2 linked regions of the Cricetulus griseus genome follow. The protein of the gene in region 1 interacts with the protein of each later gene in a biochemical or structural test. Links are inferred from orthologs where the notes say so. Each region holds a gene or a part of one and is shown on either strand. Other genes may lie near its edges.

The links.
Region 2: the proteins of Apba1 (region 1) and Cntnap4 form a complex in vitro, tested with the Homo sapiens proteins (2 studies listed by BioGRID and IntAct, with this or other methods). The link is inferred for Cricetulus griseus from reciprocal best matches to the Homo sapiens genes APBA1 and CNTNAP4.

Annotation. Positions count from the first base shown.
Region 1 is NC_048596.1:37,521,531-37,528,860, reverse strand, and holds the start of Apba1 (amyloid-beta A4 precursor protein-binding family A member 1), read left to right. Parts: upstream 1-2,663; 5' UTR 2,664-2,795; intron 2,796-3,157; exon of another isoform or gene 3,158-3,349; intron 3,350-7,330. UniProt on the Homo sapiens protein: Putative function in synaptic vesicle exocytosis by binding to Munc18-1, an essential component of the synaptic vesicle exocytotic machinery. May modulate processing of the amyloid-beta precursor protein (APP) and hence formation of APP-beta.
Region 2 is NC_048596.1:189,013,754-189,021,005, reverse strand, and holds the start of Cntnap4 (contactin-associated protein-like 4), read right to left. Parts: upstream 3,801-7,252; coding exon 3,710-3,800; intron 1-3,709. UniProt on the Homo sapiens protein: Presynaptic protein involved in both dopaminergic synaptic transmission and GABAergic system, thereby participating in the structural maturation of inhibitory interneuron synapses.

The DNA of each region.
Region 1 (7,330 bases):
ACATGCCTGTGGGGTTCCAATGAAGTTATTGGATCTCATAACCTCAAGGTGTCTACTGTCAACAAACATAAATGAAATGTTCATGAACCCCTACCTTCCCTCTTGAGTTGTAAACAATACTCAGAGGGTAAGAAGAGTGGGCTTGGGGCTGGGGGAGAAGGGGACCTCAGGAATGGTCCTAGAGAGACTCATTATCTAGGAGTCACAGATAATATGAGGCTTCTTAATATGAGGCTTTAAACTGGTATGCACAGACTTGTGACCCACAAGCCGCAGCAGGTAAGGCTTTAACTTAGACTCTAGTCACTTGGCAGCCTGTCTACAGACTGTTACCTGCTACAATGGCTGGCCGTTTGCCAGCATTTTATATACTGCCCTTTGAAGCAGGGAATAGCAGTTTTGGCTTTTGTTAACAGAAGGTGGACATAAATATTTGAAGTCCTTAGAAGAGTATCAATAATAAGGTAGAAACATACCAGTAATGCAGATACAGAGAATCTACAGGTAGACTAACACCGAAGGAAGGGTGAATATAAATGCCATATGGGCCCCTCCATTTCCTACACTGAACTACAAATGTGGTTTGGAGCTTCCTGCTAGATGAGGCACAAATACACCATCCAGAAGGACCAAGGACATCTATGTTCCTGTGAAAGGAAGATTTCCATATATAAACATTGACAAATAGCTGCCATTATAGTGATGCTAGCAAAGCGCCTTTACACATTTGCTTTAACCAAACCCCTGTGATCTAAGAATGATTGGAAAGAATCAGGAAAGCAACAAATGTTTCTGCTACTCAGAGTTTGGTGGGAATATCACACAACACACGGGGGAAATGAGCTGGCAAACCAAATGGTAGCAAGTTGATACAGCTGTATTAGTTGCTTTTCTTGAAACGGCTGTGACAAAATGCCAGACAACAGCAACTAAAGGAAGGAAGCCTCCATCGGGGTGGAGCAGGCTTGGGGGCCTGCATACTGTGGTGTCTGGCCACACTGAGTCCATTGTAAGTGGCAGAGTGAGGAGCACAGTGCTAGGCTCTACTCAGTTTCTCCTTTATAGCCACCCAGTCTAGAGTCAGTCTGTGTAAAGGTGCTGCCCACATTTAGGGTGGGTTTTCCCTCTTTTCAGTCAAATCAACCTAGAAATTTCGTCAGAGGGGATATCTAAAGCGATTCTCGAGCTGTCAGGATAACGAAGATTTAACTACCACAGCATCAAAATATGCTTCTCACCAAGGATCTGTACTCTCTCCTATTTAACCAAAACTTAACCAGTAAGTTAAGCTTGCATGGTAAACCTACAATAAGGGAACAGAAGCAATGACAGAAATGTACTCTGAAATTGCCCCCCTCCCCAAGGGGTGCAAATGAAAGCAAAGGCAAAAACTTAACAGAGCTGCCAGCTAGAAGACACACCTAACCCAGAAAGCGTTCACCAAACAGGCATAGCAAGAGATTCGGGATTCGTCCTGACTCGGTTTTCCTGCCCTAGACTCTGCGCCTCTGAGCCGCGCTCTCTCTCCACCGAGCTGCCTCACATACCTTTCAAGAACAGAAACAAACGTGATGCTGCTTGTTCTTGTTGGATCAATCCAACTCTCAACAACCCCTAGTGCCCCTTTTTGCCTCAAAAAGTAAAAGCTGTGACTACTGCCTGCTTGAGGCGTGCTGTGCCTCAGACCCACGAGAGGGGTCCTCACACCTTTACTTCCTTCTAAGTGGTCTCCTGGAATAGCCCTTTCCTCAGGCAGCCCAGTCAACATCAGACCCCACCCCCATCCCCAGCACCTTCGCAGTTGGAAAGCTCACAGTTGCTCTGGATTGTGTAACATTTTCCCCAGGATGCTATGAGTTCTGGAGGACACCATCTGTCTCTCACCCGTGAGAGTATCTATACTGACAAAATGAATAGGTAATGAATGTTACAGGACAAGCAACAATGGTACATATTTCTTGTATGTTTTATTATATTTAGGGGACAGGAGAAGCTATAGTCATCTCTGTCAAAGCAAAGAAATTCATTATGAAATAGAGTGCAAAATTCATACGAATTTTAAAGCTAAACAGAAATTCTACAATGCTTCAGGCTACACCCGCAGATATTTCTGGAGGTACTGTGCTCAATATGGAAACACCATGCAACGAATAGGCTCATCTCTCCTGAGGTCGGATAAGCAAGGCTTTTTGTTTTCATTTCGCTAGACGAGAATAAGTGTACGAAGAGAGACTGGAAAACTAAAAGGTTTCGGGGAAATATGATTTAATTTTTAAATTGAGAACTCTGTCTGGAAGAAGGGGAACACGTGGGGCTAGCGCCAGAACCCACCCCCACCCCACCCCACCCCCCGGGGGGGGCAGTCCAACTTTTCATTAAGACACAGCACCTGCCACCTGGTCCCTAATGGAAAGGGTCCCCACCCTCCAGAGATCCCAGTCCTATTTCGAGCAGATCACCCGTGCCGGGCTGGAAGACTCTTTGAAGCTCCTAGCAACCGATACGGAGAAGCCAAGTGGACCCTTCCCTGGCCCCGCCTTCCAGACGTTTCCAGGGTGGAGTGGGACTGAGCAGCGCCCCCGGTGGGCAACCAGGCGGACAGCTTGCTCCGCTCGAGCCCACGCGGGCGCCCCCTGGCGGCCACATGCGGAGAGCGGAGGCGCGTTGCCAGCCTTTTCCGACTTTCAGACCCTGGAAGCGGGAAAGCCCGGTGTCACTAACAAGAGGACACGCGCAGCCGTCCACGCGGCTGCTCCGCTCCGTGTCCTAAGCGTGGCCAGATCCCATATGCAAAGGTCGGGCCCGGGATGAGCGTTAGGGACCTGGGGTTGGGGACGATGGAAGTCCCCGTGGGTCCCCGCGGGAGGCAGCCACGTAGTCCACCCCAGGATCCCGGGCACGAAAGGGAGGGACTCGCGCTCTGATTGCAGGCGCGGCCACGGCGAGGGGCGCGGACACTTGGCACGCTCACGCGCGCCGGAGCGGGACTCCTGCGCCGCCGCGTCGGGCCCGCGCCGCGCGAGCACGCGGGTGGGCGTGGGAGGCAGGGGCGCCGCTTGCACGCGGCGTGCGCGCGCTCCCCCCGCCGTCAGTCGCAGCCGGCCGGCCCCGGCGCGCGTCACGAGGCGAGCGGGCGGCGAGCAGGGGGTGGGGCCGCGGGGGGCCCGAGCCGCTGCCGAGCTAGAGCCGGAGCCGGGCGCGGGCGGCTGCGGTCCCGGTGGCGGCGGGGGAAGATGGTGGCGCTGGAGGCGGGAGCGGCTAGAGAGCAGCTTTATTCCCAGGCTTGGCACGGTCGCTGTCACTAGCGCCGCCTGCTCCCGCGGGCCCGCGGACCCAGCTGTCAGGCAAGGTACCATGGCCAGGGAGGGCTGGGTGAGTGCGGGGCGCCCGACGCCCCGGACGGAGCCTGGTTGCTCTCGGAAGGGCGATCCTGGGAGCGAGGAGTGCTGCGTGGAACAATAGTGAGGATGAACAGGGACTGCGGGCAACATCCAGGGGGCAAAGCCTGGAGCCAGCGAGGCGGGGGAAGGGTGTGTACCAGAGAGATGCCAGGCGTCCGGTGCGCGCTGAGATACCAGGCTTTGAGAAGAGCGGGCCTGATGACAGTCATGGCAGTGCGTGCGTGTGTGTGTGTGTGTGTGTGTGTGTGTGTGTGTGTGTGTGTGTGTCTGCGTCTGTGTGATGGCAGTGGGGATGGAGGTGGCGGATCCGAGGTGTAGGGGGGATGACATTTCCAGGAATCCCCGCTAGGATCCCTCCTCTCTGGCTGACTGACGATGGAAACCGTGAGGTGGGCAGGATGCACTTGGTGTGTGAAGTGTGGAGGGAAGCAGTAGGGTAAGGCCGGGTTTGTAAAAATCCTGTGTAAGAGTGAGTAGCGTGCAATTGGATCCACGCTCCCCAAACTGCGCCCCACATCCAGCGATCTGCTTTTCCTTACTTGATGCCACCAGCTAACACTGTGGGACAGTGTTGGTTATTTCGACCATGCAAGTCAAGTACATACAGTTTCTGTTCTGTTTCTGGTCTTGGGTGGCTGGGTGTAGGGATTCTCGCTTCCCTTTTCCCTGACCTCATAATACGGGCATGTGGAAGTGAGCGTTTTGCTTTGAGGCACATGGCAGGAAAACAGGATAATGGTTATACCTTTTGAGACTGCCGGTGTCCCTGGTTCTGAAGGGAGCTTTCCTGATACTTTCCAGCCCCTCCTCCGTCGGATCCCTGACTGCCTGACTCTGCAATTTCTATTGTTTATCTCTTGTCTAACCCAAAGAGAAGGGTGTTTAATGGACCCCTTCCTACAACTTTTATCGCCAAGTCTTCCACATTTGCATACTGAAACCCTTTTGGCTGAAGGATGGTAGTCTTTGTGTTGCTTCTTTTAGAATAAACTCTGGAGGTGTTTAAGGGGGTGGGGCTTTAAAAATAAAAGAAAGAGATTGAGAGGGAGATAAAAACGAGGAAAAAGCCCATACTGAGAAATGTTTTACGTTCTCTTGGGTGTTTTTCCTTGGGAAACGGTTTTTTCCTTGGGATACTTAATTTCTGCTATCCACTCGCCCAGCTTTCACAATGGTTAGAAGGTCCATTTAGGAACTGAAATCTCTTGCGACCCATGGTGATAAGATCTCGGGTCAGTGCAGCACTCGGAGGAAATTTGGCAAATGTCCGGCTCTCCGGTAATGTCTAGGAACCAGGACACCAAAAAGCACCCAGAGTCTATAGATGCTTAAATTCCTCTGCGTAATAAAGATAGGGTTGGGGAGAGAGAGGAATCATGATGGCATATTCATGTGTGTCCACTGCAGCCTGGTTCCCTGGAGTCTGTATTTCTCCTGCAGTATCCATAGGAGCAAATGCACCTTTATGCTAATAGCTCAGTACTTTATTGAAATCGTATGAGTGGATTAACCTGCTTGGGACACATTTTAGTCATAATACCTCAAATTCTATTGAATTTCTGTCAGAACCCAAATGGGCTGCCCTGAGCCTCTTTGAAAAGCCTGTAATAATCAAGTCTGTACAAATAAATGTACAACACATTGAGACCAAAGATTTACTTCTTTTTCTTAAATTTTTAAAAATTTTGTTCTTTGGGCAAAGATTGCATTATTTTATTGATCCATTGAAAATAATAAAACTAAGGCCATCCACATATGATTTTTTCTTCTCATTTGTCGTTTTTAAAAAATTGATGATGATATATGGGCCAGGTGCCCTGGAAGCTGTCAATATAAAATAAATTGCCCCATGTCCTTTAAGTCAAGACTTCTAAAATTTTAATGTGAGGTTGTTGGATCTCACCCAAGATTTAAAAGAGTATTTATAAAAATGAATTTTGAATCTTAGTTCTTTATTCTCTTATTGCTTCAGTCATATATCTCTTTCTGATGGATGTAAAAGTCAGTTAAGAGGTTTTGGTTTCTTTATAGTAAAAAAAAAGTTACCATCTCTGTATTTGCAAGTAAAACCATATATGTAAATTTCTTATAGTATTTATTGTTTCATTGTTTTAAAGTTGAAAACAGGAATCATTTCTAACTGAGTTTAAAGTTCACTTTGAACATCATTCTTACTAATCAGTATGTATTTGAAGAGTTCTAGTAAATAGAACTCAAAATATTAGAGCTCAAAAATATTAGAACTTACCAAAGTAAATACTAACCTGGTTAGAGAAAGAATTGCAGGGCAGCACAAAGGATGGCTTGAGAATTTCTGATTTCCTTTCTCATGTAAATGAGATGATTTTTCAAATGCCATGCCCTGCTTTTCTAACGTTTGGCCTGGCGAGGTTAAAGGTTCAACTTGAATCTGTAATTCAGGTTGGTAAATGGCTGCACCTTTCCCTGCAGGCTGCAGCCAGCCAGCCATTTGTTTTGCGTGGATGCCCTTTCTTACCTTAAAGTAGCTTTAATGCTTTTCTCTTCTATTATGAGCTTCTTTTTAAAAGTTTGGCTTTTATTTTTCAGAAGACTTGGAAGTAAAAGACATTTGAAAATTGATCTGTGGGGTCAAAAGGAATAAACCATGATACCACGGGGAAATTGGGCGTTTATGCTACATGGAAGAAGAAATCAAGAGAGTGGCAAGTGGTGCAAACAGACTTGTCCTTTAATAAGTTGGGTAGTGAAGGAGAGGGTGATACATCACAGGAATGGCACAGCAGAGGGAAGGAAACCTACTTCATAAGCCTGGGCTATAAATCAATTCAGAGATTTGATCTGCGGTGTTAGCAGGAGGTTACATTGATAAAGACTTCAAAATGGTGACCCACGCCAGGTGGAAGAACAGCTCCTGAGATGGAAACAGGGGACTAAGATGAAAGAAAAGGGAGGGCAGGTTGGGACCAGGAGTAGAATGGCAACAGCTCGTGGGTTGTGGAAAATTGGCATGAGTGAATGACCATGGCTTCCCGAGAGGAAGGTGTCTCTCTGTGTTTGGGTTTGTAGAGGAAGCCACGAGCCGCACACAATTAGACTTTAGCAACTACTTAATTTTTGTAATAGTGAACATTCAGTATTGCTAAATTCAGTGGGGTTTCTGTCCCTTATTCTCCATGGAAAAATATGTTTACTTTTAACATTGCCTGAATTTATCTGAAACTCTGTTAGAAAGCTTTGCCATGAGAACTTCCTCTTGAGGATCTTTGAGTTAAATAAATAAAGCTTATAATGAGATAATGGAGAAAAATAAGGCTTTCTTTTTAAAGATAAATTGTTCTTATCTATTACAGCAAGATATGGCTTTTACAGTGAAGTGTAAAGTTGATTTTTCAAAACTCAAGTATAGCACCTTAGCTAACACCACACCCGTCATAAGTATTCGATAGATTTTTGTCACATGAATTCATGAATAAATTAATTTGTTTTAGTGAGTTAAATATAGTCTCTGAGATCTGAAATTTCAGAATTTATTTAGACAGTGGATATCTAATGATTTGAATTCTGTGACCCGTATAAGGTTATGGTAATATAAACCTGTTTATGTATTCATAGCTGCTACGTACACCTATCTGGAAAAGCAAGGACACCGTTTCTCACCAAATACGGATGCTTGCTTTCTCAAATGAGCGAGACGATTCCAGATGAGATTGTATAACTTTATCTGTAGCTAATAGAATTTGCTTGTACTTTTAACAACTATTAATCAAACGCCCTCTCAGGCTAGCTGAAAGGATAGAGGTTGAGTATGGGAGTTGGAAGAGTCCCTTTCACTACAGAGCTTTTAGTGGGAGGAGACCACGTGAAATAAATAGGTGACACTATATGTTATTTATGAATAAGAACAAAATGGTAGGGGAGGGACCAGGGAGGCAGCTCAGTGGTTAAGG
Region 2 (7,252 bases), about 150 Mb from region 1:
TCAATGAAAAAAAAATAGTCAATTGACATACAGATTGACTCTAATTGTTTGTATGTGATACGAATTCCAAAACTAATTCGTAAGACAATAACAACATTTACTACTTTAAGCACTAGGTGCCATATGGAAGTTATGTTTGGTCTCCACATTGGCTTATAAGCTATCCCTGGACAAAAGCATCAGAAATGGTCTGAGTTGATGCAATAAGTGGAGAGAAGGCAATAAATGGGAAAAAGTAAATGATCCTAGGATATCAAGTCAGAGAACCCACTGATCTTCACTTCCAAGGGCCAGCCATTAACACACTGCGTCATGGATCATATTCATCAGTACTTTGTTATTGCATTTAAATATTTCATTACTTTACTATAGAGCATATCTGGAAGAGGAGAGAGAATAAAAGGAAGCTTTTAGAAAGAACTACATAACTGAATTTTAGTAAGTTGAGGATCTGTCCAATTGTATCTGGGTTGTATCTGGTAAGAATGATCATCTGTCTACTCAAGCAGTTACCTTTCCATATATCCCTGATTTCAATTAAAGGAAAGAAAGAACATGGACAGAAGCTAACTTCTAATTAAGTCATTAGTGAACTATGTGGTGGGTGTTAATTATTCTCAGAGCAGGGCTCAGTGTGTCCTTCATCATGTGATCTGTCAGAATGAAAACAAAGCAAAGCCTGTCCCATACTTACTAGTTACATCCCATCCTTCTTATATGGCTATTAGCCCCCCAAAAAATAAACTAACTAGACCTTCAGAAATTGTGGGTTCTTAAGAACAAGTGTAAAATAAATAAATAACATCCCCGTTATAGTATCTTTCTTAGAAGGAAGTGAAGAAGTCAAGGAGACCCAGGAAGCATGCCCATGTGCAAGGACACCTGTCACTGTGTTTGCACGAAAAGGATGGCTCAGTGTAGTAGCAAACTTATCTTGACCTGGACAAAAAAGTAAAACTTGGGTGCTGGCTCACAGCTTGGAAATGTTGTATGGGACCCCAGAAGCAAAGAATGTGACCCACTCAATATATTTCTTCTTAAATTCACAGGTACTGACCAGAGTCACCAAGAATGCTCAGGGCACATGGGTTAGTAATCTGTACTTGCACATAGGGGTGTGTATGTGTATGTTTGCGTGTGTGTGTGTGTGTGTGTGTGTGTGTGTGTGTGTGTGTGTGTAAGCATGAGAGAGAGAGGGAGGAGAAGGTAGTTCTGTTTGCATGGAATCTTTCTAATGCAAATTTCCCAGTTGATTAATTAGATCAATTAATATTCAAATTAGAGTTCAGCTAATCCCAGGTTTACAGAGTCCCCTAGGCAAATGTTCTTATTGTTACCCAAAGGGTGACTCAGAGGATGACAGATTTTCTCCTTGTGAGTCAGTTGTAAATAAGGAGAAAGGTGTTTGCATTCACCCAAGAGACAGGCCTTTAATTTTCCTTTGCTTATGTTCAGTTCCCTCTGACTTTACTAGTGGGATTTAAGATTGATTCACTTCTTATTAATATACAATCTGGTTCAGAAGAGTTATTGGAGGCCTTATAAGGCTTTGAGATGCTTATGCTAGTTAGTTGCTGTCCTTTGGCCCACTTTCACCCTTGTTCATAAACACATAATACATACTTGGTCTTCCAAAAATGACCTTTCTATCCTAACCCAGCAACAAGTGGACCCTGATGCCTCCAAAATGTAAAAACTGAGGAATAATATTAAAATTAGAAAATGAAATCTTTTGTATCTACACTGTCAAAATACCAATAAGAAATTACTAAAAGTCACCTTAATTATCTGAAGCCACTGAATTATGAATTTTGACCCTTGAAGAAAAGCCAACTAACCAGGAATTCCAATTTTAATACTTAAAGTTTCCTGATCATTTAATTCTAGGCTCTCTGAGTTTAGCCAATGACTTCATAGAGATCTCCAACCCCAGCGGGTACAGATCCAACATTGAAACTGCACCAGCCAGAGCCAAGCAGACAAGAGCCCAAGCCTCTCCTCAAATCCCAGCTGCTCACTTTCCCTTGGCTAAGAAGAGGTACTGGGGGGGAAAAAGCCCTTTAATACAGATCTTCTGGTTATAGTTTGCATCAGACTTCAAGCAAGCAGACAAACATCAACAGCTCACAACCCAATTACTCATATTAATATACTGCAAACCACATGTGACGCATTGGAAAGGCAAACTGGGTTAGGCCAGGGTGAAGCTCTGCCCTTCTCAAGGGAAAGGAGCCTGTGATGTGCTTCACATCGCAACAGTGACCTCTAGTGCTCCCTCTTCACTGAATGCGTGCAGCTTCGGGATACCTTTGCCACAAAACTTCATTTACCTGAGTGGATGGGCTCTGGTCGCTTGTGGTCCTTGTTTGTTTGTTTATTTGCTACAATGTTTGTCGAAGTCTATCACCAAAGGACCCCCCAAGATTTTGACTGGGTGTAACCATGCACATTTTATTGACTTGTTTCCAGGCATCCAATTTAAAATTGGAAGGGAAACAGTGCAGCCCTTGAAAGAAGTTCTCTCCTTTGCAGAGTGGCAGATAAATTGTGACATTAAATGAAGTCCTGCAAATGGAAGCACAAATCACCATGGTCACGCAGCGTGAATGGACTTGGGCTTATGACCATGAGTTCTTCCCCCACTAGGACTCTTCAGTAAAGTCAAAGGAGGTTCTACAGGAAAGACAGCGACCAGTTTCTGTCTCCCAAACCTAACCCTGGCAATACAGCAGTGGAGTCCATTCCTGAACAGGCCTTGTAACACTTTCTTGTAATGTAAAGCAGATAAAGATGATCTTTAAAATCCAAGACAGAAAACAAAAGTTGTGTTTGCTGAGCTGTTTATCATGCATGATGGCAGATGGGAAAATACTTCCATTTAGAGAATTTAAGCCAAATATAAACTTTAGAAACTTTTCCTATCTCCAATTGCAAGCTGATGAAAGAGTTGGCCAATATATTTTGGGTGATATTTAAATGAAGCAGAGAGACTGTGACGAATGTTCCTTGAATCAATGAACTCAGTACCAAGACAATCAATTACAAACACATGAAGTTGAAAATTCAACCACAAGAGAACACTACTTAAGGTGGTGGCTGGGGTGGGAATCACCTTCATATTTCCCTTTAAGCCAGATGTAGGGCTGGGTGCCCATCCAGGAGTGCTCTTCCCAGGGAGGACAGGGCTCTTCAATGCTGAGCTGTGCTTCCTTCCACCAGTGCTGCCTGCCGGTGAAGTCTGCAGTATGTTTCAGTTATTAGTCTGCATCATTTTAGAGATGCAGCCAGCTACTGCTAAATCGCAAACTTCAGAAATCTTAGCTAATGCAGCAGAAAGAATATCAAGTCTGCGGGTTGTTTTCCTGCTAGCCAAATAATCCCAAGGAAATTCAATAACCTGAAGAGAGGTGCCTGGGCCGGTCTATGATTAAGATGCTAATGTAATGTTTTACTAGAAGTTGACTATTCTCAATGAATATTCAAGGAGAGTAAGATTCTGCTAGTAAAAAAAAAAAAAAATAGTCCAGATAACATTTTGCATATTCTGACAAGACCAGGAGGAACCCAGTCCTATTGCACAATTCTCCTGTGGTACTTCGCTTAGCCCCCCGCAGCAATTCCAGTTGAAAAGATTAATCATAATAACAACAGAATCAAAGTTTTGCGCGTAGCCCCCCTGCAAGTTTTAAATCATTTGCTGTGTACTTACACGAATTCCCGGCTTCCACTCTCTTCCAGGTGTGAGTAGACAACAGAAGTAACGTCTTGAGGACAGCACCAGTGACAGATCCCATATTCATAATTTTTTAGCTCCCCAAAAGATCTCAAGTGGCTCTCAGGGCGCGCTGGAGACAGGTTCTCCTCGGTCCTTCACCCAGCACTGAGTCTTCAGTATCTCTAGCTCTCTGGCTCTCTTTCCTCCCTCCCTCCTCTCACGCGCTACTGCTCTCTCCTCCTTTCCTCCTCCCTCCTCTGCTCTCTCTCTCTCTCTCTCTCTCTCTCTCTCTCTCTCTCTCTCTCTCTCTCTCTCTCTCTCTCTCTCTTTCTCTCTCTCTCCTCCCTCTCTCCCTCTCTCTCTCTCTCTCTCGCTCTCTCTCGCTCCTCCCCCCACCAAGCACTGGTTCCTCACTGAAAAGCAACCAGCATCTGTCCTAACAAGCTTACACACTACTGCCGCCGAGGCCACGCCCACTCCTCGCAGCGGTCCTAGAAATTGGCCTCAGCATCCTACCTCCTCTGAAAAGCACAGCACCAGCTAGCAGCTTTCTGAGCTCCGCAGCCGCTGCAGGTGATGGAAGCTGGACCTGGAGGCGCTGTCCGCTGCTCCCGGCCTCCTCGGGGCTTCCTCCCCTCCCCATATATTCTCAATAAGCCTTAACCCGTTTTGTGCCCTGCCAGCCTTATGGGGTGGGGGAAGTGGCCAGGCAGAGAAGCCTTCTGATTTTCCGCAGGTCGTGTATTTGGCAGTGCCAACCAACATACTGAGCTATTTCCTGATTGCCCGGGAGTGTATCCAGGTAAAATTGCATTATGTTTCAAAACAAAAGCATAAAATAAGACAGAAATAACAAAGCAAGCATTGGTGAATTGTAGCTAAAACTGTCCTCCGGGAAAATGCTTGCTGTTTTTTCTGTTTCTATAAAACTATCGCCTTGTGCTCTGGTGCCAAGGTTTTATTACGGAAATTCCTCACATGGGAACAGACATTCCTGCTTGGCAGATATTTAAAAATCATCTGATAATAGTCTGCAAGAAATTAACATTTCTTATTTTGGTTGGTGCTTCAGGAATACAAATCCACCAGTGGAGTGCTCTGGGTAGATTGAGTTTCATGAACACATTCTTCTGTGAGTAGGCAGCATTCCACAATCGTGTTCTTTAATAGTAATTCCCAGAGGGCCCCAAATGGAAAATGATGGAATACTGAAAAAAGGGAACCCTCTCCCATACATCCCATACACACACACACACACACACACACACACACACACACACACACTCAACTACTACAAAGAATACTCTTCCAGTGGCCACTCTATGGGTACTATTGCTTGTGCTGAATATTAAATCACTTAAATGATAAAGCTAAGGCCCCATACAGAGCAGCACATCGCACGGTGTCAGAGAGGGTAAATCATCTCTCAAAAAATAAATGTCAAGATGCCTTCCTGCTGATTAGCTAGGTGGTGTAAAGACAGGAATCCAGGAGCTATCAAGCAACATCTTGGTGTTTGGAACAGGGAGAAGCTCAAGCCTTTCCCATCGGCAGCCTTGCTGGGCTATGAAAAAGGAGTGATTTGGGAGAACCATCCATACACCAAGCCTAATTGTTTAGCTCTTGACTTCAAACAAAGCTGAATGGATAGTTTTGCTTTTCCTATTTTTCAGATGAAAAACCAAGAACAGAGAAGGGAGTGGTTTGCAGGGTCATTGAGTTAGGAAGTAAAGTGAAGAAAGCTGGGCTTGGGTTTTTGGCTCTGGCTCTACTGATCTCAGTCTAGGGCTTGCTGTCATCGAATCAGAGTTCACACCCCCCCCCCCAAGACTCCTGCAAAAACTCCAGTCCTTAAAAACAGTATCAGGGAAAAGAAAATCAGGGCCTGAGTGTTTTCTCTGTTCCTAGACCTAAATTCCTGGCTTTGGCTTTCAAGCCATAAAATGTCAAGAAAGACAGGTACATATTAACAATTTATATCAGTAATTATTGTGGGGGTGATTTAATTTACATGCTATCTTCCACTTATTATTTAATTAAATTATTAAAGTGATCATTTGAGGAAGATATCCTGTGCCTACAGAAGGAATAGATTAGCCCTTCTAGACCTCTGTGAGACTGCACTGTCTGGAAAAGTGAAGCTCGGTTGATAAGAGTATTTACCTAAAAGGCACAGGGTCCTGGGTTTGACTGCCAGCACACATAAACCAGTTGTGGTGGTGCATGCCTGTAATCCTTGCACTTGGAAGGTGGGTTAGGGGCATCAGAAAGTCAAGGTCATCCTCAGCTACAGCAAATCTGAAGCAAGCCTGGGCTAGGTGAGTCCCTGTCTCAGTGAGGGGGGAAAGAGGAAGGAAGGAGGCAGGGAGGGAGGGAAGGAGCAGCAAAGGTAGGAGCAAAGGAAGCAGGGAGCAAGGGAAGGAGGAAGGAAGGACAGAGTTGACATTCTGATCTATGGGCCTGTAAAACTGCTGCTTTGGCAGCAAAGTATTGGGCTTTCCAGAAGGAAATATTATCACCCTACTAAACTTGTCACTGTTTACATGAAAACAAATGAGGAAATTTGAAGATTAGTATTGAATCAACATGGAAAATAATTATATATATATGTGTGTGTGTGTGTGTGTGTGTGTGTGTGTGTGTGTGTGTGTAATGATTGAAGACAACCTGGACCTAGGTCCATACTCCAGAGGCTATGGCAGGGGTACTTCAAATTCGAGGCCTTCCCCAGGCGATAAACTTAGCAAGACCTTGTCTCAAAAACAAAAGGGGGATGGGGGGCCTGAATCAATGGCTCAGTGGTTAAGAGCACGTGCTGCTCTTGAAAAACATCTGGGTTCAGTTCCCAGCACCCACATGGCAGCTTACAACCATCTGTACATTCCTCCAGTTCCAGGAAATCTGAGGCCTCTGGTGAGCACTTCTGCTCTCATGTGGACAGTATGAACCCCATAGCTAAGCTGTGACACTGGTGAGTCCTTCTGCTCTCACGTGGACAGTATGAATCGCTTGGCTGAGCTGTGACTTGGCAGTTCCCAGGCAGCATGAATGCATGTTGTCAGAATCAATGCATTCCCAAGGCTCATGCTACACTGTGTTGTGGCCAGTGAGACATGATCCACTGGCAGCAGAAAGTGAGGACACCAAGACCTACTGACCTGTGCTTCATTTCTCTGACCCTACCAGAATAGCTGGAAAAGAAAATTAATGTGGTGGTACATGCCTAAGTCCCAGCCCTGTGAAGATAGAGGCAGGAAGATCAAAGTTTAAGCTCAACCTCATCTACATAGTGAATTCAATCTTCAATCTCGAAATTTTATGACCGAAACAGAAGGATCACTATGAGCTTGAGGCCAGTGCTGGGAAACAAAGTGAGTTTCAGATCAGCTTCTACTTCCGATTAAGACCTTTCCTTGGAGGGGAGGGAGGGGAGGGAGGGTATAGGAGAGTTTAATGTTAAAGTTTTTTATCAAAATAATATATACATATGTATATATAAAGCAGAAACATAACAATAATCAAAGGATATTCACATAA